Coturnix japonica: one gene and its partners. The protein of the gene in region 1 purifies or fractionates together with the protein of each later gene. This does not show direct contact. Links are inferred from orthologs where the notes say so. Each region holds a gene or a part of one and is shown in the gene's direction. Other genes may lie near its edges. The genes, in order: SOX2, DNAJB6, HNRNPA3, KHDRBS1, BAG2, DNAJA2 and MYEF2.

What was found.
Region 2: the proteins of SOX2 (region 1) and DNAJB6 purify together in Homo sapiens (affinity purification with mass spectrometry; 3 studies listed by BioGRID and IntAct, with this or other methods). This does not show direct contact. The link is inferred for Coturnix japonica from reciprocal best matches to the Homo sapiens genes SOX2 and DNAJB6.
Region 3: the proteins of SOX2 (region 1) and HNRNPA3 purify together in Homo sapiens (affinity purification with mass spectrometry; 3 studies listed by BioGRID and IntAct, with this or other methods). This does not show direct contact. The link is inferred for Coturnix japonica from reciprocal best matches to the Homo sapiens genes SOX2 and HNRNPA3.
Region 4: the proteins of SOX2 (region 1) and KHDRBS1 purify together in Homo sapiens (affinity purification with mass spectrometry; 3 studies listed by BioGRID and IntAct, with this or other methods). This does not show direct contact. The link is inferred for Coturnix japonica from reciprocal best matches to the Homo sapiens genes SOX2 and KHDRBS1.
Region 5: the proteins of SOX2 (region 1) and BAG2 purify together in Homo sapiens (affinity purification with mass spectrometry; 3 studies listed by BioGRID and IntAct, with this or other methods). This does not show direct contact. The link is inferred for Coturnix japonica from reciprocal best matches to the Homo sapiens genes SOX2 and BAG2.
Region 6: the proteins of SOX2 (region 1) and DNAJA2 purify together in Homo sapiens (affinity purification with mass spectrometry; 3 studies listed by BioGRID and IntAct, with this or other methods). This does not show direct contact. The link is inferred for Coturnix japonica from reciprocal best matches to the Homo sapiens genes SOX2 and DNAJA2.
Region 7: the proteins of SOX2 (region 1) and MYEF2 purify together in Homo sapiens (affinity purification with mass spectrometry; 3 studies listed by BioGRID and IntAct, with this or other methods). This does not show direct contact. The link is inferred for Coturnix japonica from reciprocal best matches to the Homo sapiens genes SOX2 and MYEF2.

The regions. Positions count from the first base shown.
Region 1 is NC_029524.1:14,829,380-14,833,624, reverse strand, and holds SOX2 (transcription factor SOX-2), read left to right. Parts: upstream 1-1,445; 5' UTR 1,446-2,153; coding exon 2,154-3,368; 3' UTR 3,369-4,009; downstream 4,010-4,245. UniProt on the Homo sapiens protein: Transcription factor that forms a trimeric complex with OCT4 on DNA and controls the expression of a number of genes involved in embryonic development such as YES1, FGF4, UTF1 and ZFP206. Binds to the proximal enhancer region of NANOG.
Region 2 is NC_029517.1:7,716,774-7,720,915, forward strand, and holds the start of DNAJB6 (dnaJ homolog subfamily B member 6), read left to right. Parts: upstream 1-1,342; 5' UTR 1,343-1,471; intron 1,472-1,477; exon of another isoform or gene 1,478-1,499; intron 1,500-4,142. UniProt on the Homo sapiens protein: Has a stimulatory effect on the ATPase activity of HSP70 in a dose-dependent and time-dependent manner and hence acts as a co-chaperone of HSP70. Plays an indispensable role in the organization of KRT8/KRT18 filaments.
Region 3 is NC_029522.1:14,084,638-14,088,137, reverse strand, and holds part of HNRNPA3 (heterogeneous nuclear ribonucleoprotein A3), read left to right. Parts: intron 1-639; coding exon 640-765; intron 766-861; coding exon 862-914; 3' UTR 915-933; intron 934-1,019; exon of another isoform or gene 1,020-3,412; intron 3,413-3,500. UniProt on the Homo sapiens protein: Plays a role in cytoplasmic trafficking of RNA. Binds to the cis-acting response element, A2RE. May be involved in pre-mRNA splicing.
Region 4 is NC_029538.1:4,465,967-4,470,233, forward strand, and holds the start of KHDRBS1 (KH domain-containing, RNA-binding, signal transduction-associated protein 1), read left to right. Parts: upstream 1-1,467; 5' UTR 1,468-1,556; coding exon 1,557-1,878; intron 1,879-4,144; exon of another isoform or gene 4,145-4,177; coding exon of another isoform or gene 4,178-4,241; intron 4,242-4,267. Other genes in the region: PTP4A2 (protein tyrosine phosphatase type IVA 2), read right to left, coding at 85-596. UniProt on the Homo sapiens protein: Recruited and tyrosine phosphorylated by several receptor systems, for example the T-cell, leptin and insulin receptors. Once phosphorylated, functions as an adapter protein in signal transduction cascades by binding to SH2 and SH3 domain-containing proteins.
Region 5 is NC_029518.1:79,197,086-79,201,071, reverse strand, and holds the start of BAG2 (BAG family molecular chaperone regulator 2), read left to right. Parts: upstream 1-1,186; 5' UTR 1,187-1,308; coding exon 1,309-1,484; intron 1,485-3,986. UniProt on the Homo sapiens protein: Co-chaperone for HSP70 and HSC70 chaperone proteins. Acts as a nucleotide-exchange factor (NEF) promoting the release of ADP from the HSP70 and HSC70 proteins thereby triggering client/substrate protein release.
Region 6 is NC_029526.1:6,535,196-6,538,695, forward strand, and holds part of DNAJA2 (dnaJ homolog subfamily A member 2), read left to right. Parts: intron 1-377; coding exon 378-601; intron 602-1,802; coding exon 1,803-1,883; intron 1,884-2,188; coding exon 2,189-2,322; intron 2,323-3,500. UniProt on the Homo sapiens protein: Co-chaperone of Hsc70. Stimulates ATP hydrolysis and the folding of unfolded proteins mediated by HSPA1A/B (in vitro).
Region 7 is NC_029525.1:8,888,744-8,892,243, reverse strand, and holds part of MYEF2 (myelin expression factor 2), read left to right. Parts: intron 1-460; coding exon 461-562; intron 563-753; coding exon 754-804; intron 805-879; coding exon 880-948; intron 949-1,210; coding exon 1,211-1,309; intron 1,310-3,500. UniProt on the Homo sapiens protein: Transcriptional repressor of the myelin basic protein gene (MBP). Binds to the proximal MB1 element 5'-TTGTCC-3' of the MBP promoter. Its binding to MB1 and function are inhibited by PURA.

The DNA.
Region 1 (4,245 bases):
GAGCTGCGGGGTCCGGCCGTGTTCGTCCGCGCACCCACCGCCCCCAGAGCAGGAGGCAGCTCCTCGGGGAGCCGGACGGCCGTCACCTCGTTTTCTATAGCGCGTTATGATGCAGATACGCCAAATATAGTTGATTGCGTCGATAATTAAAGCAGTTAGTTCAAACGAAGCTGTAAATACCGCCCCATAACGCAGTTGTTGGGCAATTCCCATCCTTTATGGGTGCGATAAACGCAGTGAGGAAGGGGCCCGGCCCCGCGCGGAGCCGCGCTCCGGTATCCGTTTGTTACACCACCACCGCCCGCTCCTGCCCGCTTTTCAAACTTCATTATCCCCAAAGCTGTAATATTATCGTTATGATTTGGAACGTTGTTATCAACCGCAGCCCCGTGCACGACCAATAAAAGCTGTCGGCGCGGGGGCAGTCGGGCCGCGCAAAAATCGCGCATCACCCGGTGCGCGCATCCCGCAACGCGCGCCCATTTTCCGACGCTTTCAACCCGTCTCTTCTCTCCAGGTTATATATATATATATATAAATACACCTTCGAATTACACGCGTTAAAGCCGATCACATTTATTTGCATAATCCAGAGATGCACCCTCTCCCGCCGCACTTTTTCTACGCGTTACCAGGACGGGGGAGGGCGGGGGGGGGGCACGGCCGCTCCCTTCCCCCCACTCCATCTCCCGCTGCTCCGCACGGTGCCGGCAGGGGGAGCCGCAGTGCCGCGGCTGAGCCCTCGCGGGGCGCCCGGGCGCTGCCCCGGCCCCAACCCGGCCCTGCTTGGGGCCGCGCTTCTCGGGGGGCCCTTCTCGGGGGGCCTCGGCGCTGCCGGGGAGCGCGGCCGCGGGCAGAACAGCGCCGTCGGGGCGCGGCAGTGCGCGTAGAGTGGGGCTGGTTAGAGCCCCCCCCCCCCCTTCCGCCCCCCTTTCTCTCCCCTCCTTCCTTTGTCGTCAAGTGCGTTTTAGCAACAAAGATCCCAACAAGAGAGTGGAAGTAAACTTAGCCGGGGCTTTGTGCAGCCCCGTGTAGCGACAACAAGAGAAACAAAACTACCTATTTGTCCTACGGGCCGCCCCCCCGCCCGGCGCGCCCACCCAGCATCGCACACGGGACGCGTCCCGGGGCTGCAGGCCGCGCACCGCGTTGTGCCGGGAGGGCCGTCGGGGGTTCTCCGCTCCTGCTTCCAGCGGGCACCCCACGATGGAAGGAGGGAGAGAGAAGGGCACGGCCGGCCCCGTTCTGCTCGGGGCCCGCTCGGCTCCTGTCGGCGGGGCAGCCCCGGGGCGGGGGCTCCGCTCCCCACGGACGGGGCGAGCGCTGCACACGCAGCCGGACGGCTCAGGGGACACCGCAACGGGGCGGGGGGTGGAGGGGAAACCATTCCTCCATTCCTGCTCCCCTTATGGCTTCTTCCAACATCGACTTAAAAAAAAAGAAAAAAAAAAGCAACGTAGCAACAATGCTGTTTACCCACTTCCTCCAAAAGGCGTGTGTGACCTGTTGCTGGAAGGGGAGATACAAAGGCTTCCCAGTGGCTGCCTGGGCCGGCCCTGGGCCCGCCCCCCCCCGCCGCGCCGTCCCGGCGGCTGAGAGCCCCCGCCCCGTTTCATGCAAAACCAGGGGTAGAGACTTGTCCTCAGTGGCGGAGCCGCCGAGCGCTGATTGGCCGGGGCGAACGCATTTATTCCCTGACAAGCCCCCATCACATGGATGGTTGTCTATTAACTTGTTCAAAAAAGTATCAGGAGTTGTCAAGGCAGAGAGAGAGAGTGTGTGTGTTTGCAAAAGGGGGTAAAGTAGTTTGCTGGCTCTTTAAGACCGAGGTGGAGAGAGAGAGAGAGAGGGAGAGAGAGAGGGCGGCAGGCAGAGAAAAGGGAAAAAGGAGGAAGAAGTTTTTTAAATCCGAGGCTCCGGCGGTAATAATAGCAGTTATTAGCATTATTAATCCATCAGCGAAGAGGAAGATTCTGATCTCGATCCAAGTGTGGTTTTGGGGAGTCCCCCTCCCCCCCTTCATACCCCTCCCTAGGAAAAAAAAAAAAAAAAAAAAAAGAGAGAGAGAAAAAAAAAGAAGTCCGGCTCGGGACTTGGGCGCCGCTCCGCTCCGCTTCTCCGCTCCGGGCTGGTTCCAGGCAAAAGTAGTTTGAATGTACAACATGATGGAAACCGAGCTGAAACCTCCCGCCCCCCAGCAAACTTCGGGGGGAGGCACAGGCAACTCCAACTCGGCCGCGAACAACCAGAAGAACAGCCCGGACCGCGTCAAGCGCCCCATGAACGCCTTCATGGTGTGGTCGAGGGGGCAGCGGCGGAAGATGGCCCAGGAGAACCCCAAGATGCACAACTCGGAGATCAGCAAACGGCTCGGGGCCGAGTGGAAGCTGCTGTCCGAGGCGGAGAAGCGGCCCTTCATCGACGAGGCCAAGCGGCTGCGGGCCCTGCACATGAAGGAGCACCCGGATTATAAATACCGGCCCCGGCGGAAAACCAAGACCCTGATGAAGAAGGATAAGTACACGTTGCCAGGGGGCTTACTGGCGCCGGGCACCAATACCATGACGACCGGGGTAGGGGTTGGGGCCACCTTGGGAGCTGGGGTGAACCAGAGGATGGACAGTTACGCGCACATGAACGGCTGGACCAACGGAGGCTATGGGATGATGCAAGAGCAGCTCGGCTACCCGCAGCACCCGGGCTTGAACGCGCACAACGCGGCGCAGATGCAGCCCATGCACCGCTACGACGTGAGCGCCCTGCAGTACAACTCCATGACCAGCTCGCAGACGTACATGAACGGATCGCCTACCTACAGCATGTCGTACTCCCAGCAAGGGACCCCGGGCATGGCCCTGGGCTCCATGGGCTCGGTGGTCAAGACGGAATCCAGCTCCAGTCCCCCCGTAGTCACCTCCTCGTCTCATTCGAGGGCTCCTTGCCAAGCCGGGGACCTTCGGGACATGATCAGCATGTATCTACCAGGTGCTGAAGTACCAGAACCAGCTGCCCCAAGCAGACTTCATATGTCCCAACACTACCAGAGTGCACCTGTTCCTGGCACAGCCATTAATGGCACACTCCCTTCTACTCAAATGTATGTAAGACAAAGGGGCCGGGGGGGCGGGGTGGGGGTGGGGGGGGAAGGAGAACTAAACAAAACAAACAAACAACAACAACAACAAAAAACTTTTATTAGAAATTCTGGACTTTTTGTTTTGTTTTGTTTTGTTTTTGTTGGTTTTTGTTTTTTGGTGGTTTTTTTTTGGACTATTTTTGTACAGAGAAAACTCTGGGGGGGAAGGGGAGGGGGTGGGGGGGGGGCAGGGAGGGGGTCAGAAATAAAGCCGACAAAGGAACTTGTATAGAGCTCGGAGGGGAAGCGACTACACAAAACTTTTTTAAAGTTCTAGTGAGAACGGTAGGAACTTTGCAGGAAAAGTTTGCAAAAGTCTTCACCGGTAATATTTAGAGCTTAGACTCCAAGAGCGGAGAGGAGAACGTTTGAATATTTGCAGGCAACTTTTGTACAGTATTTATCAAACTCCACATGGCAATCAGAATGTCCATCGCTCATAGGGAGAGGGGAGAAATCAAAGCCGAGAATTCGCGAGTGATTTTTTGACCACACAGACTCTCCGTGGAGCACCGTGGCCGTGGCAGCTCTGCTGACGGCAGCTGCGGGAGGAGAGGGAATTATTTTGCAGCATTTGGACGTTGAAAATTGGTTTGGAAATTGTACAAAAGGCAAAAGCGGTAGGAGGAAGACTGGCGAGCCGTGGGCTTGGTTTGCTGGGAGAGGGCAAACGTTTCGATGTACGACGTTTTGCTTTTATTTTCTTTTTTACTTCTGGTTAAAAAGCAAGAAAAAAAAACAAAACAAAAGGCCATGAAGGTTCACACGCCGTTTGTTAATTTATAATAACTTTTTTGTTTCCAGACTTCATCCCGTTCAAAGAGAAGGAAAAAAACAAACAAACAATCCCCCCCCCCCCAACCCCAACCTGAACTTACTGTGTTTGAAATATTTTCTTATGGTTTGTAATATTTCTGTACATTTATTGTGATGATATTTTAAGTTCCTTTTTTTTTTTTTTTTTTTTTTTTTTTTTTCCTCTCAACATATATTAGTAATTGAACAAAATTATTTAGGCTAACCATACCTCTTCAGGACATAAGAACACTGGCAGAGTAACATGAAGCCTTCTTTCATAACTTTTTTTTTTTTTTTTTTTTTTTTTTTTT
Region 2 (4,142 bases), on another chromosome or scaffold:
TTACTTACCTGTTAGACCTACGTGGCTGTGGATGAAGAATGACATAGAATTAACATGTATTTGTCACTGGCGTACAGATAAGGAAGCACATCTCAGATCAAATTAATGAATAGAAACGCTGATCAGGCCGTCCTTGCAAGGAATAAGCACCATTCACAAGCTGTGAGATCTCGTGGCTGCCAGCAGCTGCTCTTAGAATGTCATCTGCACACCCCAAGTCATCAGTAGAATATATCTCATGCTTTATGTTGGAATTCTGTTCAAGCCTTTGGTTACAAAGAGGCAACCGGATAAACCTGCATCCTATTGATTACCTAAGAAGCTCCATACAAATGAAAACTGAGATTGTGCTCAGCAGAAAAACTCGGGAGAATTCTAACGATAATTGATTATTTTGTGCTTTTAAAGCTTCTGCTTAACGTTTTAAACGTTAGGTGTATTGCTCGTATTTCAAGTCTAATTGTTTCTGATAAGGTATCAGCAAAAAAAGTTAGTGCTTATATTTAATTAAGTGGCACTTTCCAGAATTACTTTGCCAGTATTACCATAATTAAATGATGTGAGAACAGTCTTTGATACATGCGTTCTTCGCTAACACCGAAAATAGAATCTGTAAATAGAAAAACTGGATTCATTAAGCAGCAGAGCAGAGCAGCAGGCCAAGAAGGCTACAGCCATTACAGCATCAAAGGAACTAATATTAGTCCCTCTTTTATGCAGCATTTTCAAGTGTTTCTTATGCTTCTGATGGGCTTTTCATCTTTGACCCCCATAACTGACCTCAGAATCACAGAATTATCAAGGTTGGAAAAGACCTAGGAGATCATCTAGTCCAACCATTCCCAATACTTCCCGGCTAAATAATATTCATCAACACAACATCCAGACGTTTCTTGAACACTCCCATGGTCGGTGACTCCACCACCTCCCTGGGCAGTGCATTCCAATGCCTGACTACCCTTTACGAGAAATAATACTTCCTAATGTCCAGCCTGAATCTCCCCTGGCGCAGCTTAAAACAATTCCCTCTAGTTCTATCACCGATTACACGAAAGATGAGGCCAACCCCCAGCTCACTACAACCTCCCTTCAGGAAGATATAGAGAGCTAGAGAGCTGAGAATTCCTTAGCAATGGAGATCCTCTGATAACAAGATGTCTGCCCAAGTCTTCCATACCAACACCCATAAAGCCACCATCCCTTATCAGCTGCCATCACGAGACCATATAGAGACAAGCGTAATCGATGACCGTGATAAAAGGAAGCCGCCCCCTGCAGCTCCCCGCTCTGCCGCCAGGGGGCGCTCCACCCCCGCCTGTACAGGAGCAAGCGGTGCGTGCGTCGTTCGAGAAACTTCCGGAAACAGCCGGGCGGAAGTGACGGCGCTGTGACGGCTCTTCCTGTTTGCGGCTGAGGAGCCGCCGCCGTTGCCGTTGTCCCGGGGCTGCCGGCTGGGAGGTCACTGCGGCGGGTGAGCGCGGGGCTGCGGGCGGGTGTCGGTCGGTACCACAGGGGGAAGGGCTGGGACAGCGGGAGGGGGCGCCGATGGCTGGGCCGGGCCGGGCCGGGCCGGGCTGGGCTGGGCCGCGGCTCGTAGCGACAGCGCTGCTGGGACCGGGCCCTGAGCGCGGCTGTTGGTGACGCCATGCTGGGCCGCTGCGGGATGTGTGATGGTGGATCCGCTGGGCCGGAGTGGGGGGAGAGAGGGAGGGAGGCTGCTATGGGGCTGCTATGGGGCTGCCCTGCGCTCAGCTCATTGCGGGGTGGTGGTGAGCTGTGGGATGTCCCACACCGGCTGTGCTTCGTGGTTACCGAGAGCAGGGAAGGGGAAAATCCCTGCTTCTATTTCTGCTTGGGCTGGTTTCGGCCGCAAAAAGCGAGGAGTCAGTGATCTAGAGCCTATTGAACAGGCCTTTCTGTTTCCTTTGTTCACTGAGTAATTTTGGCACGCTTGTAAATTAAACGTGCCATTTTCTATCTTCTTCTTTCTATCTATCTATTTCTTTTTCTGATAGGAATTGAGTTCCGATTTCCTTTTAGTAACTCAGAGCAGGGTCAGAACTAAGTGTTGTGGGTGAAGGCAGCAGCGTTTTGAAAGCCAGATGTTTCCAGGTTGAGCTGCAAATTCATTGTAAGGTTGATTGTTGTCATGGTCAGTGTCTGCTGCGCTTCTGTCTGAGTGCTGGGTTGGGAAATGAAGTTATTTATGGCCAGTATTTCTGTTTGTTGCATGAGTTCATGTTGTGTTGCAGTTTGTCAGCACTACTGAAAACTGTGCAACATCCATCAGCCCACAGAAGACAGTAGAAAAGGTTCATCAAAATGTGGGGGCAGGTTCCTTTTAGAGTTCTGATAAGAGTAAATTGATTGGCTGGTTCCAATCTGGATAAGTTAATGTCACTAAAGTTGAATATAGAACGATGGGGATGCTTTTGATGTTGCATAGCCGGTGGTCTGGGCTTGATGTTTTTATGGGGTGAGGTGTCAGTGTGTGAAGAACAAGGTGTTGGTGTGGTGTCAGCCCAGCTGCTCACAGAATGACCCGGGTTGGAAGGGACCTCAAGGATCATGTAGTTCCAACCCCCCTGCCTGGCAGGGCCACCAAACATACACCTTTACTAGATCAGGTTGCCCAGGGCCCTGTCCAACCTGGCCTTGAACACCTCCAAGGACGGGGCATCCACAACCTCCCTGGGCAGCCTGTTCCAGGGCCTAACCACTCTCCTCCACTCCTCCCTAGTGATAGAGACTTCCCCTAACATCCAACCAAAATCTGTGCCCTCTCCCTCCCTAACTTAAAATACCAATTTCCCGTGTCCTGCTATTTGTCACCCTCTGTCCATCAGAAGGCTTTTTCATAAACTTCCCCTCGAGATCCTCGGAGTAGGTCCCTTCAGGTGCTACTGAGAAGGCTGATCCAATTGTAGGTTCACCCCGCAACCTTCTCTTTCTCCAAGGGCTGAACAAACCAACTCTCGTGCAGCCTGTCCTCAATCAGGGGAGTCTCCAGCGCCGCCTGAGGTCATCTCCTGTCCCTCCTGCTGGAGACCCTTCCAAAAGTTCCATGTCTTTTTTTTGTTGAGGGCTCCACACCTGACACAGGTACAACAGATGGCCCTCACAAGAGCCGAAGTAGATAGGGTACAAATCACCTCCTAAAGTCGCTGCGTGACCACCCCTCTCCTGATAGAGCCCCACAACAGGCCCCATCACTTGGTCCTCCAAGGCTGCGCTTCCCACTGCGTGCTGACCTTGATTTCTGTTTACCCTTTGGAGATCGTTGTACTTTCGTTAGGGATTATGTTCAGCTGATGATCGAGAGGCTTGGTTGTTGGAGCACCATTCGGTTTGCTGGATTATGTTGTCACAATGAAGATTTGTTTGGCTGAGCGAGTGAATGTATTTACCCATCTCGTCTCTGATTGCCCTTTTTTTGCGTGTTCCTTTTCAGTTGTTTAAAACTAGAAGTAAATACTGAAGTAGCACACAGCGCTTGTGTAACTGTTTCCCCTCTTGTCTCTCATGGTGCTGTGGAGCAGAGAGCAGGAGCTGCTTGGAGGTGCAAGTCAAACTGGGATTCAGTTCCTCTCTCTAATACCGACAGGTCGAAGGCCTCTGTCCTCCGGCTTTCTAGCGCTATTCGGACTCAGCTATATGGATAAATATACACTTTTAACTGTAAAGATTCTTCAGAACTCCACCCTGTGTGTCCTGACACAATTTGCAAGTTGGATCCGCATCGGAGAGATGTTTGTGTGTCCATGTGAGGTTGGAGGCATTGCGTTTGGTCTGGCATTGAGTGAGGCTGGGCAGTGACACAGCCATGCGTGTTAACGTTCTGCTCTTGTGCTGCTGGCGCATCTCACCCATGTCAATACACAAAGCTCCCAGCGTGCAGTAGATCTTCTGCTTCATGCATTAGAAATCGTGATGCTTTGAATGGAACATTTTCTATCAGCAGCTTTATTGTGGCCATAACGTTAATCAATTTATTAATGGAATGGAAAGAACAGCGACAAGCTACTTCACCTGTCAAAAACTTGTTAGTTTTTGGGATGATTGTTTGTTTCAGCATAGATTTGAATATGCTTTTTGGAGCATATCCAGAGGAAGACCAGTGGCTGGAACACTATAAGGACAGG
Region 3 (3,500 bases), on another chromosome or scaffold:
CCTTTTGAAATAACCAGGAACCACATTACTACATGGCTGTTTTACAGCATTAGCAAGGGTAAACCCTTGATGGCGTGGAAGGCATTAAATGAAAGTCTAGATGTGTCCTGTTATCAGTTCAGCCGTATTCTTACTCTGTGTTGCCAGCATTGATATCTTTGCAGGAGCTTTGAAATGATATGATTAATTTCTGAATCTATGATCACTTCAGTAGAGGCCTTTAATGATGTGTTTCTTGTCAGGATGTACCACAAACACTAAAACATGCTAGGTTCTTTAGTAGAATTTTGGGGGGAAGAAGCAGTAAGAACATGCAAGGACCCAGTGTGAGTTTAGGAGGTTAAGCAGCAAAATCTACTGCACGCTTACCAATACCTTCTGGTGTATCTATGTGCTCATTACAGTTTTATCACTTGTTACAGCAAATAAAAATTGCTTTTGGCTTGTAGTTTATGTCACGTACAGAGCACTGAATAGTGGAAGAATGATGGTGAAAGCAGAGTTTTTTTTGAGTTGGGAGGCATTAACTTTGGCCTTCCATGTTAATTTCAAATTGCTACTTTACAAGTAGCTTTACTTTACTTTTTGCTAGTTTACACCGAATGTCTCAGTTTCACGAACTTTGTGAATTTATTTCAGGTAATTACGGTGGCAGTGGAAACTACAATGACTTTGGTAACTACAGTGGACAGCAGCAGTCCAATTATGGTCCCATGAAGGGTGGTGGCAGCTTTGGTGGTAGAAGTTCAGGCAGTCCCTACGGTGGTAAATATATTTCTGTACCAAAAAAAAACCCCTTTGTTTACATTTCCTTGGTATCACTTATGTTTCAATATGCGCTGGGTTTTGTTTTTTGTGCAGGTGGTTATGGATCTGGAAGTGGAAGTGGGGGCTATGGTGGTAGAAGATTCTAAAAATGCTACCAGAAAAAGGGTAAGTGTAATGAATATTTATAATGATGATGAATAATGTACAACTGTTCACTGAGAGTAATAATTTTCTTATCCTGTATTCAACAGGCTACAGTTCTTAGCAGGAGAGAGAGCGAGGAGTTGTCAGGAAAGCTGCAGGTTACTTTGAGACAGTCGTCCCAAATGCATTAGAGGAACTGTAAAATCTGCCACAGAAGGAGCGATGATCCATAGTCAGAAAAGTTACTGCAGCTTAAACAGGAAACCCTTCTTGTTCAGGACTGTCATAGCCACAGTTTGCAAAAAGTGCAGCTATTGATTAATGCAATGTAGTGTCGATTAGATGTACATTCCTGAGGTCTTTATCTGTTGTAGCTTTGTCTTTCTTTTTTCTTTTTATTTTCCCATTACATCAGGTATATTGCCCTGTAAATTGTGGTAGTGGTACCAGGAATAAACAAATTAAGGAATTTTTAACTTTTCAATATTTGTGTAGTTCAGTTCTTCCACATTTGGTACAGAGAACTCTATAACAGAAATAAAATGTAGTTTAGGGTGTTTCCTTGTTAGTAGAGAAGATTAATGCATTTCTCAATTACTATTTTGTATTAATTTAAAGTTAACAATAGAAACACCTATTGATTTGCAGTCTTAAGGGGTCTAGTCTCAGTGTATATATGTAACTGTCATTGATAAGAGTTACATAGGCATACAGAGGGAGAACATCTGTATGTTGCATTATAGTTTGTTTAGATGTATAACTAGGATTGAGTTACTCAAATTAGTGTTTGTGAATTATAGAACTAAGCTTTACCTTCAAATGAAAATTTCAAATTACTTTTTGGTTTGTGCATATTTTTTTAATTTGTAGTTCTGTATTAGTAGTAGCGCTTCAAGAAAATAAGGCATGATAAATATTTTAACAAGACCAACTTTAGTCACATTCAAGCTGTGTCCAGTCTCATCTGAGATGTATAAGGGATAACTGCAGTTGCTGAAGTTCTGGGTGAAGAGAAAAAGAAACTTGCTTTTTACCTTTTTATTTATTGTAATTCCCGAGAAGTTAAGGTGGGGTGGGAATCAAGTGCCTGTTTCCTTGGGATATACAATGATTCTGTTTCAATAAAACTATACTTTGGGGAGGGTGGCTTGGAATTTTCATCCCCTTCCTTTCTCCCCTTTCCCCTCTCCCTCACACCAGACTGTGCTGTTTCGATTAAATGAGGCATCATAGTGAGAGTAATAGGTATGTTCCTAAATAACTTAATGGCTATATACTTTCTTGCATGCACCCTAGGCAATTTTCTGGACACATTCATCTGACTGGGAGCCAAGGGTAGCACAGGTGTAATCACTGACAGTCCCAGGTAATGGCGTTCCAAAAGCCCATTCACGATGGGCTCTAAGTAGCATAGAGCTTTTTCCCTTACGAATATCTAAGCTCAGGTAAGAGCTTGAGGATGAAACAAAACACAATCTAGTTATATTTTACCTGACCACAGGAGGTAGAATGATAGTATTTTACAGTTTGATTTGATGCACTGGAGTAGCAAATCTTATCAGCACATCTGGCTAGAAATTGTACTCAATTCTCATTTCTGAACTCCAAATTAAGGCACTACAATCTCTGCTTTTCTCAGCTGATGTCACTTCTCTCTCAACTATTGCCAGGACAGTGCTTTCTGACAATTGAGACTCAGAAGAGTAGGGACACAGTCAATAGAAGAAATGTTCAGACACTTGACAATATGTGATATTGGAAATTACACCTGTTTCACTTCTGGGTCAATGTGCAGTATAAGGTAAATGCGATTCCAGTGTAGGAATGAATCTGCAAAGATGTATGAAATGGCTCAAGGCATAATCAGTCATATTAATAATATAATTTTAAGAAGTTATTAGCAAAATGAGTGTGTTGCTTGGAAAAAAAAAATAATTAAACAATGTTATTTGAACACTGTTATTGAGTGTATTTAGACTGCAGTACACTAAAACAAGGAATCACTGTCAAAGATGTTAGCCTCCAAACTGGATATCAAAGTCTGCTTATTCTTTTCTGTGGAGTTTTAAACTATCTCTAACTTAAAAGCAAGAATTGCTGATGCAGTGAACATTTTGTTGTTGTACGTAATTTGGGCTTGTGGGGAGGGTGGGTGGGGGAAGGTTGTATTTCAATAAAGGCATTTTTTTAACCAACCCACTTGGAGTTTGAAAACACATTAACAACTAAAACATCTCACTAGGGAGTGAGCCACCCAACTGCTGACTTGCTTTGTACGTTGCTACACCTAGAAGTCGTGTAGATTTGTAACTGGGGCCTGCATCTGGTTGCAGGGACAACTGGAGAATGGGGTTGATGTCCCTTCTGAAAATGGATATGGTATTTCTAAAAGTTTTAGAATGTATTGACAGTGTTCTTTTTAACAGGGCCTCTTGTAGCTGTACTGTGACAACAATGTTAACTTTGAAAAATAGTGTCATAATAAACTTTATGAACAAGATCTGTATGCAACCTTTTAAGAGATGAAGTGTGTAAGTGACCGCTTTGTAGGTGGGTGGGGTAGCTTAGCTGTTGTTTGTGATGTGGAA
Region 4 (4,267 bases), on another chromosome or scaffold:
CCCCCCCCGGTCCATGCCCGCCCCGGGGCTGCTCTCGGTTCTCCCCCGGCCTCCTCCTCACCCCGGCCCCCCCCGGTTCCTCACCCCGGGCATTGAGCGCGGCGCCGTTCTTCCGAGCGGACCCGGCGCCTCCCACACCGCGGGCCGGGGGGCGCGATGGGGGCAGGAAGGGGCGGCGGCGGCGTTGGGGAGCGGCGGGGCCCGTGACGGGGCTGAGGCTGAACGACCCCCGGTGCGGCCCGAGCGGCGGACACAGCGCACAGCCCCGCCGCCACACGGCTCACACTGCACAGGCCGCTCCCCCCCCGCCCTGCCCCGTGGTACGGCCCGCACGGCGCTGATTGGCACGGCGCGACGCACCCCCGCAACCGGCAGTGGTACGGCCCGCTCCGCCTCAATCCCCCCGCGTGGAAGCGCCCACTCGGTGCCCTCGCGGGGGGATCCCGTGTCTGTCTGTGCCGTGCGAGCGGCGCAGCCTCGCAGCCGTTTTCCGCCACACGAGATGCGGGTTGAGCCCCGTCCCCGAGCCGCGAGGAGCCGCCGCTCTCATCCCTGCGCAGCCGGAGCTCCCCGCACCCTCCCCACGCAGCCGGCATTGGTACGGCCCGACTCTCCCCCTAACCGCCGCCTCCCCCCGCCGCACTTGGACCGGTCCGCCCGCACCACGTGCGCACCCCCCCGCAGAGGGGCGATGGAACAGCCCTCCTGTAACCCCCCCATCCCCTCCTGTCCTGATACGGCAGCTCCGGTTAGACAGCACGGACAGACAGCGAGCCCCGGCCACAGCCCCGGGCAGGGATGCGGTCTCAACCACGTGCCCCGTTAGTTCGGGCCCGGAGCGCCCGCCCTGCAGCTGGAACAAGAGCTGCTGTGTGCTCTGCCCGCAGGAAGCAGCAGCGGGGCCCCTCCCGTCCGTGTGCACAGCGCAGCACGGAGCTGTGCAGCCCAGCAGGTCCGTTCTGTAGCTGAACGAACGCTGTGTGTCAGAGCTCAGTGATTAACAACACGTTGTGTCAGCAGGGAGCAATGGGGATGTGATCGCATCCACATCCGGTGCTCCTGTTAATGCTGGGAGCAGGGATGGCCCTAAAGCAGAGCAGCTCCTATATTCAGCCTATAAAAGCCTATTGCTGCAGCCAGCCCACAGCACACAGTGCTCCGGGCAGAGCAGCACTAAGACATGAGGCCCATATCCCAGGTCCCGGTCCCGCATCGCACCTCCCCGCACCGCCATGTCGGACCCGCAGTGCGCATGCGTAAAGCTCCTTGAGCCTGGCGCCACAGCGCCGCGCACGTGCTGCTCTCCCAATCGCGCGCCCGGCACTGCGCATGCGCACAAGGAGAATGCTTCCTTCTCACGCCGCGCATGCGCCCTGTGAAGCCGAGGGGCTGCGCGACAGCGCATGCGCAGAAGCGCGTGGGGTGGTCGCGCGGGAAGCGCTGTGTGGGGGCGCTGTGAGGGATGGGGCGGTACTTCCGGTCTCCCACTTCCGGTCCCGTCGCTGCGGCTGCTCGGGGTGGCAGCGCCGTTCGGGCCCGTCCCGCTCCGTGCCCGCATGCAGCGCCGCGATGAGTCCAACGCCCGCATGGGCCGCGGGCCGGGGGGACCCGGGGGATCCCGCCAAGGGGGGCCCAACCCGCGGCGGTCTCCCCGGGGCGGGGGGGGCCGTGGGGCCCAGCAGCCGCAGCCGCTGCTGACCGGCGGAGGGGCGGCAGGCTCCTCTGGCTCGCAAGGCCCCGCCGCCGCCTCCCCCGCCCCGCTGCTGACAGGGGGAAACAACAAGATGGAGCCCGAGAACAAATACCTGCCCGAGCTGATGGCCGAGAAGGACAGCCTGGACCCGTCCTTCACTCACGCCATGCAGCTCCTCAGCGCAGGTACCGAGCGGAGCGGGGGGTGGGGATGGAATGTGGCGGCAGCGCGGTACCGAGTGCTGGGAACGGCTCTGTATGAAGCGCTGGGCTGTGTGTGATATGAGCTATAGGGCACCGGGAGCCGAAGGTTCGTTGTACAGGGAGGTTGGCTGCTGTCATCCCTTGGGGGAGGGGTCCGAGCTGAGCGGCCAGATCGTGGGCTGCGATCTGTGCTTTTCCACTCGGTAACACGTCCAGAGCTCGTTCCGTGGTGCTGCTGATCCTCAGTAGTGAATGGGAATGGCAGCCTTTGTTCTGTGCCCGGAGCTGCCTTCTCCTTCCCCATCGCCGCTGTCCAATCGCCTGCCCGCTCTCATTCCTCCCCATCTCCCTCCCCGTGCAGCTGCCGGGGTGGGCTCAGCTGCCTCTGATACCTGGCAATAAAATCGGAGCCTTCAGCATTTCATACAGACTATTCTGCAGACTGACCTTGTGGCTCGGGAGGGTTGTTTTTCCCAGATAAGCGGGACAGCTGGAGCCTAAAAGCAGAGCCTGAGCATTCCACGGGCTGTGGGGATGTGCACTGTACCCTGCTGGGGCTGAGTATAGGCACCATAACAAGGTTGAAGTACTAATTAGGAATGTAGTCAACAGCTGTTTTTAATAAGTACAGCAATTTTAGGAAGAGGCCGTCGTGTTGTGGTTATGCATCGACATTTCCATATCTAAAACATGTGAAATCAGTGAGCTTTAACCCCTGGATGTGCAGCTTGGAGGTGCCATCCTCGCACCCAGCGCTGCAATAGAGCCATGTCAGCTTTCTGACCTCTCATAGGGGTTGGTGAGTTTTGTTCCTGTATTTCAGTGCCACCTGCAGAGCCCACAGCCGGCTTCAAACAGGAACAGCTTCAAATCTTGGCTGCCGCTTGGAGCTTAATATGCGTGCGGTGCTGAGCAGGTGGTGCCAGCACAGGGATAGCAGCACATTGAACCAGCTCCGTGCGCTGCCGTTTGTCATCCTGCTTCCAAATGATTCCTCAGGTCTTTATACTGCTGAATATTGCCATAATTGTCGCAGCGCTCGAGGCTTTTTTAGTTCCTCCTTTAATGTGGGAAATAATTCTTAAGAATTGCTGTCTCCTGTTCTGCAGATAGCTGAGGTACGTCGTCACGGGTAACTTGGCATCATTTGTGGGCACCTCGATCTAAATAAATCAGTTTTATAATCCGATTTGCCATCAGTTTAATGTTTTTCATTAATAAAAGCGTTTAGCCAGCTGATGCTCACAGCTCTGTGCTAATGCCTTCAGTGACATGAGACCTGAGGAGTGTGTTCATTCCCAAAGAAGGAGCAGCGTTCTCAGCCCCCTTTGCCCAGCTTTGTTTGCAGAGCGGTCTAACAAGGATTTATGAGCTTCTCCATTAACTTGGAGTTTGCTCATAGTGAGCTGCAGCTCTGTGAGGTGTCACATTGGAAGAAGGCTGGGTGCTTTTTGCTTGCTTCAGGTATATTGAGAACTGGGGGTTTGGGGAGTGTAAAATGGTGTCTAAAAGTAGCCTTAAAGTAGCCTGAAAGTACCTTTGTAATTCTGGAGCTGTTCAGTGTTTCTAAAGAAAAATCAGCATTGTTTGGGATTGGGATGAAAGGCCACACAGTGATGTAACGCTGATCCTCAGACAATGTACTGTGTGATATGAAGCAGTGAAGGGGGTAGATGGTGGGATTGTGTTACACAGCACCCTGAACAGACGTTGCAAACGGGGATTTTTGCACCTTGGAATATGAGGTTCCTCACTGCCGTGATTCAGGATCTACACCAGCTTCCTTTTCCTTGCTTTCATTCATGCTCTGGCTGCTGTGGCTGCAGGGCTGGAGGTGCTGACATCCCATAGGCACAGTGCTTCCAGGCACTGGGGATAGTCAGGAGGCATCCGGTGCCGTGTCTGTCGGCTGGAGGTGTTTTCCAGGTTCTTGCATTAATCTGAGCTATTTCCATTTCATGGAGATCCTCTCCTTGGACAGAGCTGGCATTTCATCTCTGAGCTTCCTGTGCTTTGTGAGTGAGCTGCCTCTGCTCCGCTCACACCTTTACCTGGAGCATCTTGGAGGTCCTTCATGTTCCCAGGCAGGCGGGATGGTGAGGAGGGCAGAGCACAGGGTGCTGCAGGTCCACGTTTGGTGGTTTTGCTAGGGAAGAGCTCGGGCTGAGATCAGGAGTGGCACTGTGGCTGCTGAGCCTCCTTCCTGCAATGCAGCCGCGTTACCAACCCCCCTTTACCTGCCCCATAGGATTTCTTCTGAGACAAAGCAATCACTGCCCCCATGAAGTCCGGGAAGCCACTGCCACGCATGCTGCCAGCCTGCTGCCATTCCCCGTGGCAAGAAGGTAACCTTCTGCTGCACCTCTGACAC
Region 5 (3,986 bases), on another chromosome or scaffold:
TCTCTCAGCAGGGTGCCAAAAATTGGGCTGCTGGAGCTATGCAGTATTTGCCCAAACCTGGAGTTAGGGATAAGCAAATTCCTTTTTAAACAGTCACAACAATGGCAAGCAAAGCCTGTGTGTGCCTTGAGCTGCTGGAACTCTAGGATCAAGGGGTTTCTGTGGGAGCTGGTTCCTGAGCTCCTCTAAGGGAAGGTTCTGCTCCATGTGGAGAAGTGATATGTGATCTCCCACCAACGTCATTACTGACTGTGGTTCCGCTGTGTTTCCTACCATTCAATGGACATACAGTTCTGTTGGGCACTGAGGGAGAACAGAAACAACTTCCAACATAAGCCTTTCTGTATTGTCTTAGACTACTTCTTGCACTGAGACAGGGTCCGTTAGCACCAAGGTGCTGTTCTTGGGATCATCTGAAGGACTGTGGTTTTAAGAATGCTCAGTTCTGGCTCTGCTCACAGACCAATTTCCTTGACCTCCAAATTTTCTGCAGTCTTTGTACTAACAGCATGAGACAGACACAAAGCTGTTGGAGCAGGTCCAGAGCAGGCCGTAAGGATCATCAGAGGGCTGGAGCTCATCTCCAATAAAGAAATGCTAAGGGAGTTGAGTCCGTTTGATTTGGAGAAGGGTCTGGAAGACCTCACTGCATTCTTTCAGTATTTAAGGGGAGATGATAAAAGGGAGGGAGACTGAGATCATGGCCCAGTAGTGACAGGACAAAGACAAATGATTTGAAATCAAAAGAGAGGAGGTTTAAGATAGATATTAGGAGGAAATTCTCTACTTGGAGGGTGGTGAGGCATTGACTCAGCTGCCCAGAGAGCTGTGGTGCCCCATCCCTGGAGGCGCTCAGGGCCAGGCTGGGTGGGCCCTGGGCAGCTGAGCTGGTGGGGGGCAGCCCTGCCCACAGCAGGGGGGTGGCATCGGATGGGCTTTGAGGTCCCTTCCAACCCGAGCCAGTCGGTGATTCTACAACGGCCATCGTGTAAAGTGTAGACACTAAAAGTCTCCCTCCCGTTTCCTTAGCTCCAGTTTCAGAAACAGAGCAAGAAGGCCGCCGGTGCCGACGCGGCGCTGCGGTCCTGAGGGCTGCGGGAGCTGAGGACGCTGCGTGTGACTCGGCTCCGCGCCGCGGTGCCCGGCGGGCCGAGCCGCGAGGCGGGGCGCGGAGGCGGGGTGCCGCGGGGGCAGGCGGCGGGCGGGCTCCTTCTTTGGCCATGAGCGGGACGCCGGCATTCGGCCGCCGCCGCCGCCTGCGGGACGCGGGAAGGGAGCGGCCGCCGCCGCCGGCAGCGGGCGAGTGCTATGGCCCAGGCTAAGATCAGCGCCAAGGCGAGCGAGGGCGCGCCGCCCCAGCAGCAGCAGCAGCAGCAGCAGCAGCCGCCGTCCGCCGGGCAGCTCCGAGGCCGCTTCTACCGCTCCACCTCCATGGCGGACCGCTCCAGCCGCCTGCTCGAGAACCTGGACCAGCTGGAGCTCAGGTGGGGCCGGGGCGGCGGGGGGTCGGGAGGGACGGGACGGCGGGGCGGCGGGGCCCGGCGGGAGAGCCCCGCTGCCGTGGGACGTGTGCATGGGTGCGTGGAATAGAGGCGTTTTTATAAGAGAAACGGATTTTCCCGGCCCGATGTGTGTAACGCCAGGCGCTGCTCTGCTCTGCTCTGTGGGGAGCTGCTGGAAGCTCGGAGCTGAAGCGCGGTAACGCTCGTGCACCCCGTGCCTCTCTCAGCCCAGGCACCCAGCACGGCCACGTTCCGCGCTCGCAGACCCTCTGTGTGCCCGCCGGGCTGCCCGCACTGACGGCTGCCGCTCTGAAACCCTGAGCTGTGGTACGGCCAGCACTGCGCTCTGCGGCACAGCCCTATTTGTAAATAGCTCCGGATACAGCCCGTGTGAGCTGCCCGGGTGAGGTGGGCACCGCGCTTCAGCCAGCAGCGCTGCTGTCCCACACAGCCCGCCGTGCATTGAGCGGCTCTCAGAGCCACCCGGGATGCTTCCAGGTCTTTCTGTAATTACAGAGCCCCACGAGAGCTGGGTTTTTCCCTTTCTGTGTGCATTGCTTTGCATTATTCAGGAGGCAGCAGCGTTAGCCTTTCACTGATGAAATCTCCTCGGAGCTCTTCTCAGGCTTCTCCGAATTTGACTAAACAAAGTCAGTGCCTGCAAACAGGTCTCACTGCTGGCATCCAGGTGGAGTGTGGTAGCGTATAATTACAAAATGCTGCGCTGGATAGGCAGGAGGGTATGCAAAAGTGGGTTTTAAATGTGCTGAGCAACTCCGACACGAAGCAGACAGTTTGATTAGCCAGAAACGAAGGCCAAAATGAAACCCTCCTGCTTGCCGTGGGCCTTCCAGAGAGGCACATTTCTAAGTGTGGAATGATGGCAGAATAGGGGCAAAGTGCTGTGATTAAAGTCAGCCAAGTTTCAATTTTGCTGTGTGTAAGCAGTGAAGACACCTCACTTTAAAGCCATTTGAATGTTAGGAGGAAGATTGCCTGGGCTGCTTCCTTCTCCAGATGGTGTGACCGAGCTGCAGCCCCGTGGATAAGACTTGTGAATGCCACCAGTGAGGAGTGCCATAGTGCACCATGGGGTTGTTGAGGGGCTTCATAAAGAACTTGGCCATGAGGCGGCTGAAGGCTGGCTGGGCCCCGCATCCCTTTGGAAGAGCTGATCCCAGCTGCCCTCCTTTTCCTGCCTCCCCCAGGGCCATGCTGGGCTGCCGTGGGCTGGTACCCACCAGCCATAGGGGTGCACAGCTCCCTGGGCCTTGCAGTTCTTGCCAATTATTTGAGGCACCTCCAGGAGCTACTGCTGAGTGGTGCCCAGGTTTGGGCCCGCACTGCAGGTGTTGGCAGAGGCTCAGGACAAGCCACTGCCCCAACTTACTGTGCAGCGTCAAGGGATCTCACAGCCATTGGAAGCCGCTGTTTATGAGTCACTGCGTTCTGATGGCAGCATTAAATGGACATGTAGTTCCAGGTCTAACGATGCACAGGCACAAACACAGACTCCTGCTTTTGTTTCCTTTCTTTCCCTTTATAACTTCTTGTACCTTTTGTCCTCTTCTCAGCCCTTTCCTCACTGCTCATTACTCCAAGCCCCAGCCCAGCAGGAGCAGCTGAGGACAGCGGGCTGAAGGGTCCCACTTGGCCTCGGCACTTTGGCTGAGCTGTGTTTCAGGAAAAAGCGCTGAGGCCTCACTGAGTGTTTCTGCATCCTTCTGGAAATTCATCTCCAGCGGGCGAGCTGCAGTGAGCTATTTCTGCAAGCCCCTGGTTAATGCGTTATTGCAGCTGTCCCAGGAAAGCGGATATCACGTTTCTGCTGGTGGAACAAAGCGTGGGTCGGCCCACCTGTTCCTCCAGGGAATGCTCTGCTCATGTCCATGGCATGCAGAGAAGAACGGCATGGCACCTCTCATCGCTCTCAGACCAAGGCAAGTCAGGAGTGAAGAATGGTTCTTTTAGGCTCAGACGATCCGCGGAATATTAAACTAATGCTGAAAGCAACAGATAAACTCCATCCATAAGGATGTCATTGGATATTTTCACCCAGCAGAAAGAAGCCCATACTGCTGCACTCACCACAGTAAGGCACAGACCTGACAGCCTTCTACAAGGAGAGGAAGCTGCCAGAGTCGGGTCTGCCTTAGGCACTGTGCCCTCGCTGCCAGCAGAGCAAGCTGGGGAGGGGCAGTCAGGAGCCCACAGAAATGGCCGCTGGCGTGACTGGGTGTGTAATCCTGTCTGTCAATCTGATACCCACTTGTGACCTTTCCAGGCCCCCTTCTCTGTGGACAGAGGCTATATATCGCCAGTTCAGATTGTATTCACGCATGGCGATTTATTTTCTTCCCTTCTCTTCCTTCTCTTTTTTTTTTTTTAAAGTCAGTCAGTCACTGAAATACCTAGTGGTAGGAACCCACACTGTTACCTTGACAAAGCCTGCCTGCATCTCCTCAGCACGTTCCCCTACCTGTC
Region 6 (3,500 bases), on another chromosome or scaffold:
ATTTTAAAACAGGAGAACAATTGAGCAACTTTTTAAGTGCCTGACAAGTCTGACAATCTCTGTCATGTATGTAACTTGTTTTTGCCTGTTGGCTACTGCAATAATGTGCATTTTTTACGTGTTAGTAAGATTGTCTTGTGCTAGGCCCAAAAAGCAAGTCAATGGATATCTGCGATAAAATATCATGTTTTAGTATAAAGTAAGATGTAATACAACTATGTCTAAGTCTGCCTTCCTCTCTTAGTAGAAAGGAGGGGTGGAAAAGGTTATGTTGTGTACTATCATCCTAGGGTGTTCATGCTGGGCAGGGAACTGTAGCAAAATTCTCCCTTAGTTACAAATTATCATGCACTGATGTGATTCTGTCCTTCTTCTAGTTCAAAGAAATAAGCTTTGCCTATGAAGTATTGTCAAATCCAGAGAAACGTGAGTTATATGATAGATATGGAGAACAGGGCCTTCGAGAAGGTAGTGGTGGAAGCAGTGGAATGGACGATATTTTCTCCCACATCTTTGGTGGTGGATTATTCAATTTCATGGGTGGTCAGAGTAGAAGTCGTAATGGTAGAAGAAGAGGTGAAGATATGATGCATCCTCTCAAGTAAGTATCTTATTGCTGAAATTAATATACATTTTCAAGTTTTTCTTATCAGTATTCTTCTCTGCTAGCTTAAATTTTGGTGTGCTCCTCAGGTGAGGTTATGCAGTTTGCACCTCCTTTTCAGACCTGTATGTGTCATGTATGGTCCAGAAGGCAGTTATCTTATTTTCAATAAATAGTTAATTATGTAGGTTATCTGATACTTTGATTTGTCTGACTACTAACCTGCAACTAAGCCTTAGTTGATGTTTTTTTCTTGGTTTTGCTTCTGAGTTATGCTTGGAAGTTCTAATGTGAAATTGCATTAAATAAACAAGTATTGCATAATAGCTGGACTCTTAGGAAAGCAGAGGTACTAATGTTAGGCAGCTTTGTTCAAACTTCCTTTAAGGCTGCATCTTTTCTATGGTTGGCAAACCATGCAGAGTCTGGTTGCTTCTGTTTGCTTACTTAGTTTAGCAGCTAGTAGTGTATGCTGTGTTACTAATTTTCTTTAGTTTTGTTTTTGTTTGTATGTGCTAATGCTGGGCAACCTTTTCTAGTTTAATATTCTTGACGTTGAAAATTCTGTCCAGTAATGTGAACTTGGGGTTAATCAACTTCTCTCACTTTACAAAGGTTATTAGAATTTGCTTGTGTATTCAAGGGTGTCTAAAAATGAACAAATGTAAAGAACCATATAGCCTTGGGACTTGTTAGTCCTTCTTTATGCCTCCTCTCCCCCAGTATCCTCTGTTTTCCAATGGAAAGTACAGCAGTAAGTATATATTCTTGTGTATGTATGCAATAAATACCTCGAAGATGATCTAGAGAGAGGAGGGCTTCTCACTTGCTTGGTAGAACCTCTTCGGAAAAGAAAACTAAAATATCAGATGTGACTGTAATGAAACATAACATGCTATGTTTGCTTGCTTCCTATGGAGAAGCCTGACTAATTTGTTTTTGTTTCTGCCAGTTACATCATAGCTTTTCTCTTAAGTGGTGTTCAGGGCTGTGTCTATGTATTCATATGTATGGAACAATTCTTAATGATTCCTTGTGAAAGCCAATGTGGTGCTTTTTAAAAATATCTTGTTTTAACAGCAGATTTAGTCATTATGAAGAACTGTTTTTCTATTACTTGTCCTAGGCAGATATCTTAATTATGTGGAGAACAGATACTGTTAAATGATAACACTGGAGAAAACGCTTTATTTTGCAGAGTCTCTTTAGAAGATTTATATAATGGAAAGACAACTAAACTACAACTTAGCAAGAATGTCCTTTGTAGCGCATGTAATGGGTGAGTTTGTTTCTGCTTCTGAATTCTCTAGTTGCTTTGTTGATATATGATATAATGAAGCATTTTCTGTGTCAGATCTTCATCGGTATTTAACTTACTGGGGTCTTCACTCAGACTGGAAAATAGTTTAATTGTAATTTCATGGGCTTTGAACTAACTGGGGTTTGTATGTGTGTTTGTGTTTGCCAGTAGGGACACCTGACTCATTGGCAGTGCAGTCAGGCATGTTAACCTACTGCTGTAAATATTCTGTCATATGTTTCTGAAAGGCTTGGTTTTAATGCAACTGGTGCTTTCTATTCTAGTCAAGGAGGGAAGGCTGGAGCTGTTCAGAAATGTAATGCTTGTCGGGGTAGAGGTGTACGTATCATGATCAGACAGCTGGCTCCTGGAATGGTTCAGCAGATGCAGTCTGTATGCTCTGACTGCAATGGAGAAGGTAGGCCGGCTCTTCTGTATTCCTCAGTGCGCTTATAAATATGCAATAAAAATATGTAAATATTTATCTTGTGTGTTTGGAAGAACTGCTGCATAGCTTCTGTCATACAGTGAAAGGCATCTCATCTAGGAGAGCTTTTCCCTCGTGTGGTCAGTTAGGTGTCTGGTCCCAGTGTGGAGAAGTCATTTTAATTAGAGCAGCAACACCATTGTATGTCTGGAGTGCAGAAAACAACCTGGAAACTTGAGTAATGGGGATTAATTCTGGTGTTTGTTTTTTTTTGTGTGTGTTACTTGGTGGTGGTGGTGGTTTCTGTTTATTTTGTTTTTTAAAGACTTAGATGTGAATTTTACTTGTTGCTTTTACTCTTCTATTAAAAAGACCAACATCTGGGGGGGAGAGGGGAGGAGGGTTAAAAGCCTTTATTTATTTAATTTTGCAGTCTTATTCTCTAAGAACAGCTTTATGTTAAAACTGAAGTTGGACTTAAAAAAAAAAAAAAAAAAATTACTAAGATACCCTTTGCTGAATTGGTTGTTTGACCGTCATGCGATATGTGCTTTGTGTGAATTCTTTCTGAATGTTAGGCAATTTGCAGAGCAGTGATGCAGCCTTTTAGATAGCTTTGTTTATGACAATACCTGAAATTACAAAGGGCTGTATTTCATTGAAATATTTTACAAATGATATTTCTGAACATCTTGTTTTCACCATTCGAGTACATCATTTCAGCTGGGTAGAACAGAGAATTTAAGCTGTTCTGTATAATTATCCTTCAGTTTGCTGGAGGATGTACTTGTGTTGCTAGAGGTGACAAACAGTGTGAAAAACTATTCACTGTCAGAGCAGTATAGAAGTGGAATCTTATGTGCCAGGCTATTTTAGATAATTTCTGTCTTGTATGAAGCCAGTTTGACCAGCTGTCTTCTCTTCAATGTATGTAAATCTCAAGTTTTGCTGACTATATTTATATGATACTTCAGAGCTGTGGTAAAATACTGCAAAATGGGACTCCCTCAGTAATCCTCCTTTCACTGATGTTAACAGAACAGAACTAAGTTTCCAAAATTCAGTTTAGTAGTTTGAAATTAGTACTGTAACTTTTAAGAGAGAGTGGATGCTTATGTTTGGTTTTAGGTTTACTCCTCGTTTATAATGATTATCTTGCATTTTAGCAA
Region 7 (3,500 bases), on another chromosome or scaffold:
GCTTATCTTTCAGATAGCTATTGCCACTGCTGAAACACACCACCACCTCCTTGCTATGCTAACATCTGCTGTTTGGTCTCTGTAAACATTCAGCTAGTGTCAGTGAATGTCAATGGGTGCTATTTTTTCTGCATGGGCAAGTTCAGTGACAAACTTTTCCTTCATGTACACTTCCATGTCAGGCACCCTTTTGTCAGACTACCCCTCTGCTGCCACCTGTCACACGGCAACAAAGTGTAAGAGAATATTGGTGGGAAGGTTTGACCCTGACTGCCATACCACCAACATCCGCCTCTGACATCATGGGCCAGTGTAATAAAATAGAAGGCATTACCTTGAGAGCAGCTCACATGTTGATATGGCCTTGGAACTGTTCAGTAATAGTTTTGCTTACAGCAGTCTTCTTACACTGAAAGTCTTTCTTATGTTGATAGCTTTATTTTTCTTTTTATTTTTGAAGGTGGTCTTGGTGGCATTGGTATGGGACTTGGACCAGGTGGGCAGCCCATTAGTGCAACACAGTTGAGCATGGGTGGTGGAATGGGGAACATGGGTCCAGGAGGTAAAGCCATGTTCTTCATTTTTAAGTTTCAGAGCTTTTAAGTTTATAATTGTCATTTCCGTGTTTGGAAGAATGGCACGTTCTTGTCAAGGCCATCCTTGCATAGTGTATTTTTGAGACACATTTTGCTTTTAGAAATACAGTAGGATCTTACCTGTGTTCTAAATGGCATTTGTTTCTTTGATTTAAAGGTATGGGAATAGATGGTCCTGGTTTTGGCGGAATGAATAGAATGGGAGGCGGTACGTGCAGTGAACATCTTTGTATTATGTCTTTTTAAACTACTGGATAGAAGAACATTCTTCCTTATTTTGCAGGGCTACCTGGATTTCGCGGAATGGAAGGAATGCCTAATATGGGAGGATTTGGAGTCAGCCGGATGGGAGGTGGGTGAATGCTATTAGTTTGCTAATCCGTGAGCTGTTTTAAAAGCTCTTTCTTCAGATAGAGATGAGTAATGTAGATGAATTCAAAGGAAATGTGGGTGGTGGCATGAATGGAAACATAGGAGCTGATATGAAAGGTGCCTTTGACTGATGGATTAAACCCACTTCTATCTAAACAAGCAGCGATGAAACAAGTGCTGTATCAACATCAACTTAGATGAATATGACAGAATTTTTCTGGTTTGTGCATTATTCTCTGCAGAAATGTTCCGTGGTGGAATGGGAGGAAACATGGACAGAGACTTTGCTCGTAGTGAAATGGCACTGAACCGTGGTTTTGGAGATTCTTTTGGAAGGATGGGTATGGTAACTGTTCAAGTCTCTGTGTATTTGGAAGAGTTTTAAGTAGGGGGGTAAAAATAAGAGGTGTGGTTTCATTTGGCCATCTTCCTCTGTCTCACTGGCTGTTATTATAAGGATGTTTATTTATTTAAGGATATTTATGTGTTTATGTCCGTCTCTGGAGATAGAAGTTAAAATGTTTTTTTTAATCTGTGGCATAGAAGTAATGATTTGAGGAAAGTATTGAGCTTCAGGCTGTTAACTGTGCCAGACATTATGTCATTTGGATATTGAAACGTATATTGGCAGTCCTGAACAAGCTGTTCATTCACTACCTTTGCAACTTCCAGGAGACTTCTTTTGCAAAGACATGCTGGAAAATGGTTCTTGCTGCAAATCATGCAGCATTGGAGAGCAGTGGTGGATTTTGGTTCCCTCTGTTTTCTTCCAGTCTTTTCTCATGCAGCTCAGGACAGGGTATCCTGGCCTCTTCTGAAACTGGGCCAGCTTTGTTGTTGTTTCTTTGTTTTTTTTTTTAAAGTATAAATAATGCCTTTCTGGCCGGGTTCATTTTTGCTACTTTTTGCTTCCCTCAAATGAGTGATGCTCTTCTATCTGTATAGAGGTTGAGTGGCCTGGAAGTGGTTAGTAGTGGAACCTTCTTCACTTTGTTACTATATTCTTACCTGGGTGAACACATAGGAGCCAGCCTTTCTTTTCTTCCCTGCCCCTCATTATGCTCCACACCTCAGCTCACTAATGTGAAAGTGCAGGTGTGTTAAAACCATAAGATTCATGGGCTCTAGGAAACATGCAACTTGTAGGCTTTTGGGGGAGAAAGAGGGTTGTTAATTTGGGCAAGTCTCAATGAAGGGTAACTGTTATTTGCTTCTCTACAACTACTGGTAATTGTGTAGCAAGCAGTAGGTATGTAGTGAGGTTATCAGTTATATTAGACTTGGTGGCTTGGAATTAAGGTCTTTAAAAATTGAGTATAATCTTTCACTATATGTACTTGCAGCTTAGGATGAACATCTGTTTCTTCAGTGAAAATCCAGAGCCAGTACAGTTAGAAGTGTTTGTACAAGAGGACTCAAAAGTCTGTTACTTGTACTACATCCTCTTAGGCCTAATGAATAAGTACTGAGGGCTTCCTCATACGCAGACTATTGGGAGTAATCCTGCTGCTGTTGAACAACCATAGTATCTTGAACAGGTTGGTCCATATGTTTTTGAAGTCTCTCTGACAGCATGTTTTCTGTGAGGAGGAAGCTTTCTCCCAAGAGACCAGCAGAGAACCACTGCTGCTGTTCTGAACTATATACAGAAAATGAATCTGATGGAAGATGAAAAGCCTTTGTAGAAAATATCAGCAGTTTACTTTCTGAAATGATTATGCTACCTATATCCAGAAACATTGCCTATTGTTATAGGAAGCTCTTTTATCAGTCTGGTGCTGCTGTTAGACCTGTGGTCACCTGAATGCTCTTTCTCTAGAAACAAGGTTTGTTGGAACAAATTTTGTCAGGTTTGTTCCACAGAACAAATGGGAGTGTTTGTTATGCAGTCTGCACAGCCCCCTACTCTGTTAGGCATTGACATGAATGTATTTCTTTGAGTTCTTACAATTCCCTCAGGGTTACTTACTTTACTGAATCATAGCACTTCAATAACATCAGCAAGTTTTCATTTTTTACCCATTTAAACCCACTTTCTAGAATCAGTTTCTCTCACTGTTCTGATGTTTTCATGGTTTTACCTGGCACTTTTTAATTAAAGTATTGCCCTTTTCTCTTTTTTCCCCACCCAATTCCATGAACTCTGCATTCATATACAGTTAAGACAGGCCTTGAGAGACAATTCTAGCTTTTACATGAGTTTCTTTAGGGTGGGAGAAGCTAGGACATATCTACACAGTAAGGTTCAATAGGATGAATTCTTCAACCTTGACAAATGGGGCTATTAGTCCCAATCTGGGAAATGGCTCATTTAGTTTAAAGTGTTTGCACTGCTATTGGAGTAGAGAAAATCAGGGTAGCTTACTTCCTGTAATAGGGAAGGAAAAGGTAAAGTTACTTGCTGGGTATTTCCTATTTAGATTGTGTAACAAAGGTACCAGCTAAAGTGTTCTGTGTAAAAGAACTGATGGGAAACACTGAGATCAGTGTGCTGTATCATTGTGTGCCTTGCTGTTGTCGCTATCTGGCAGT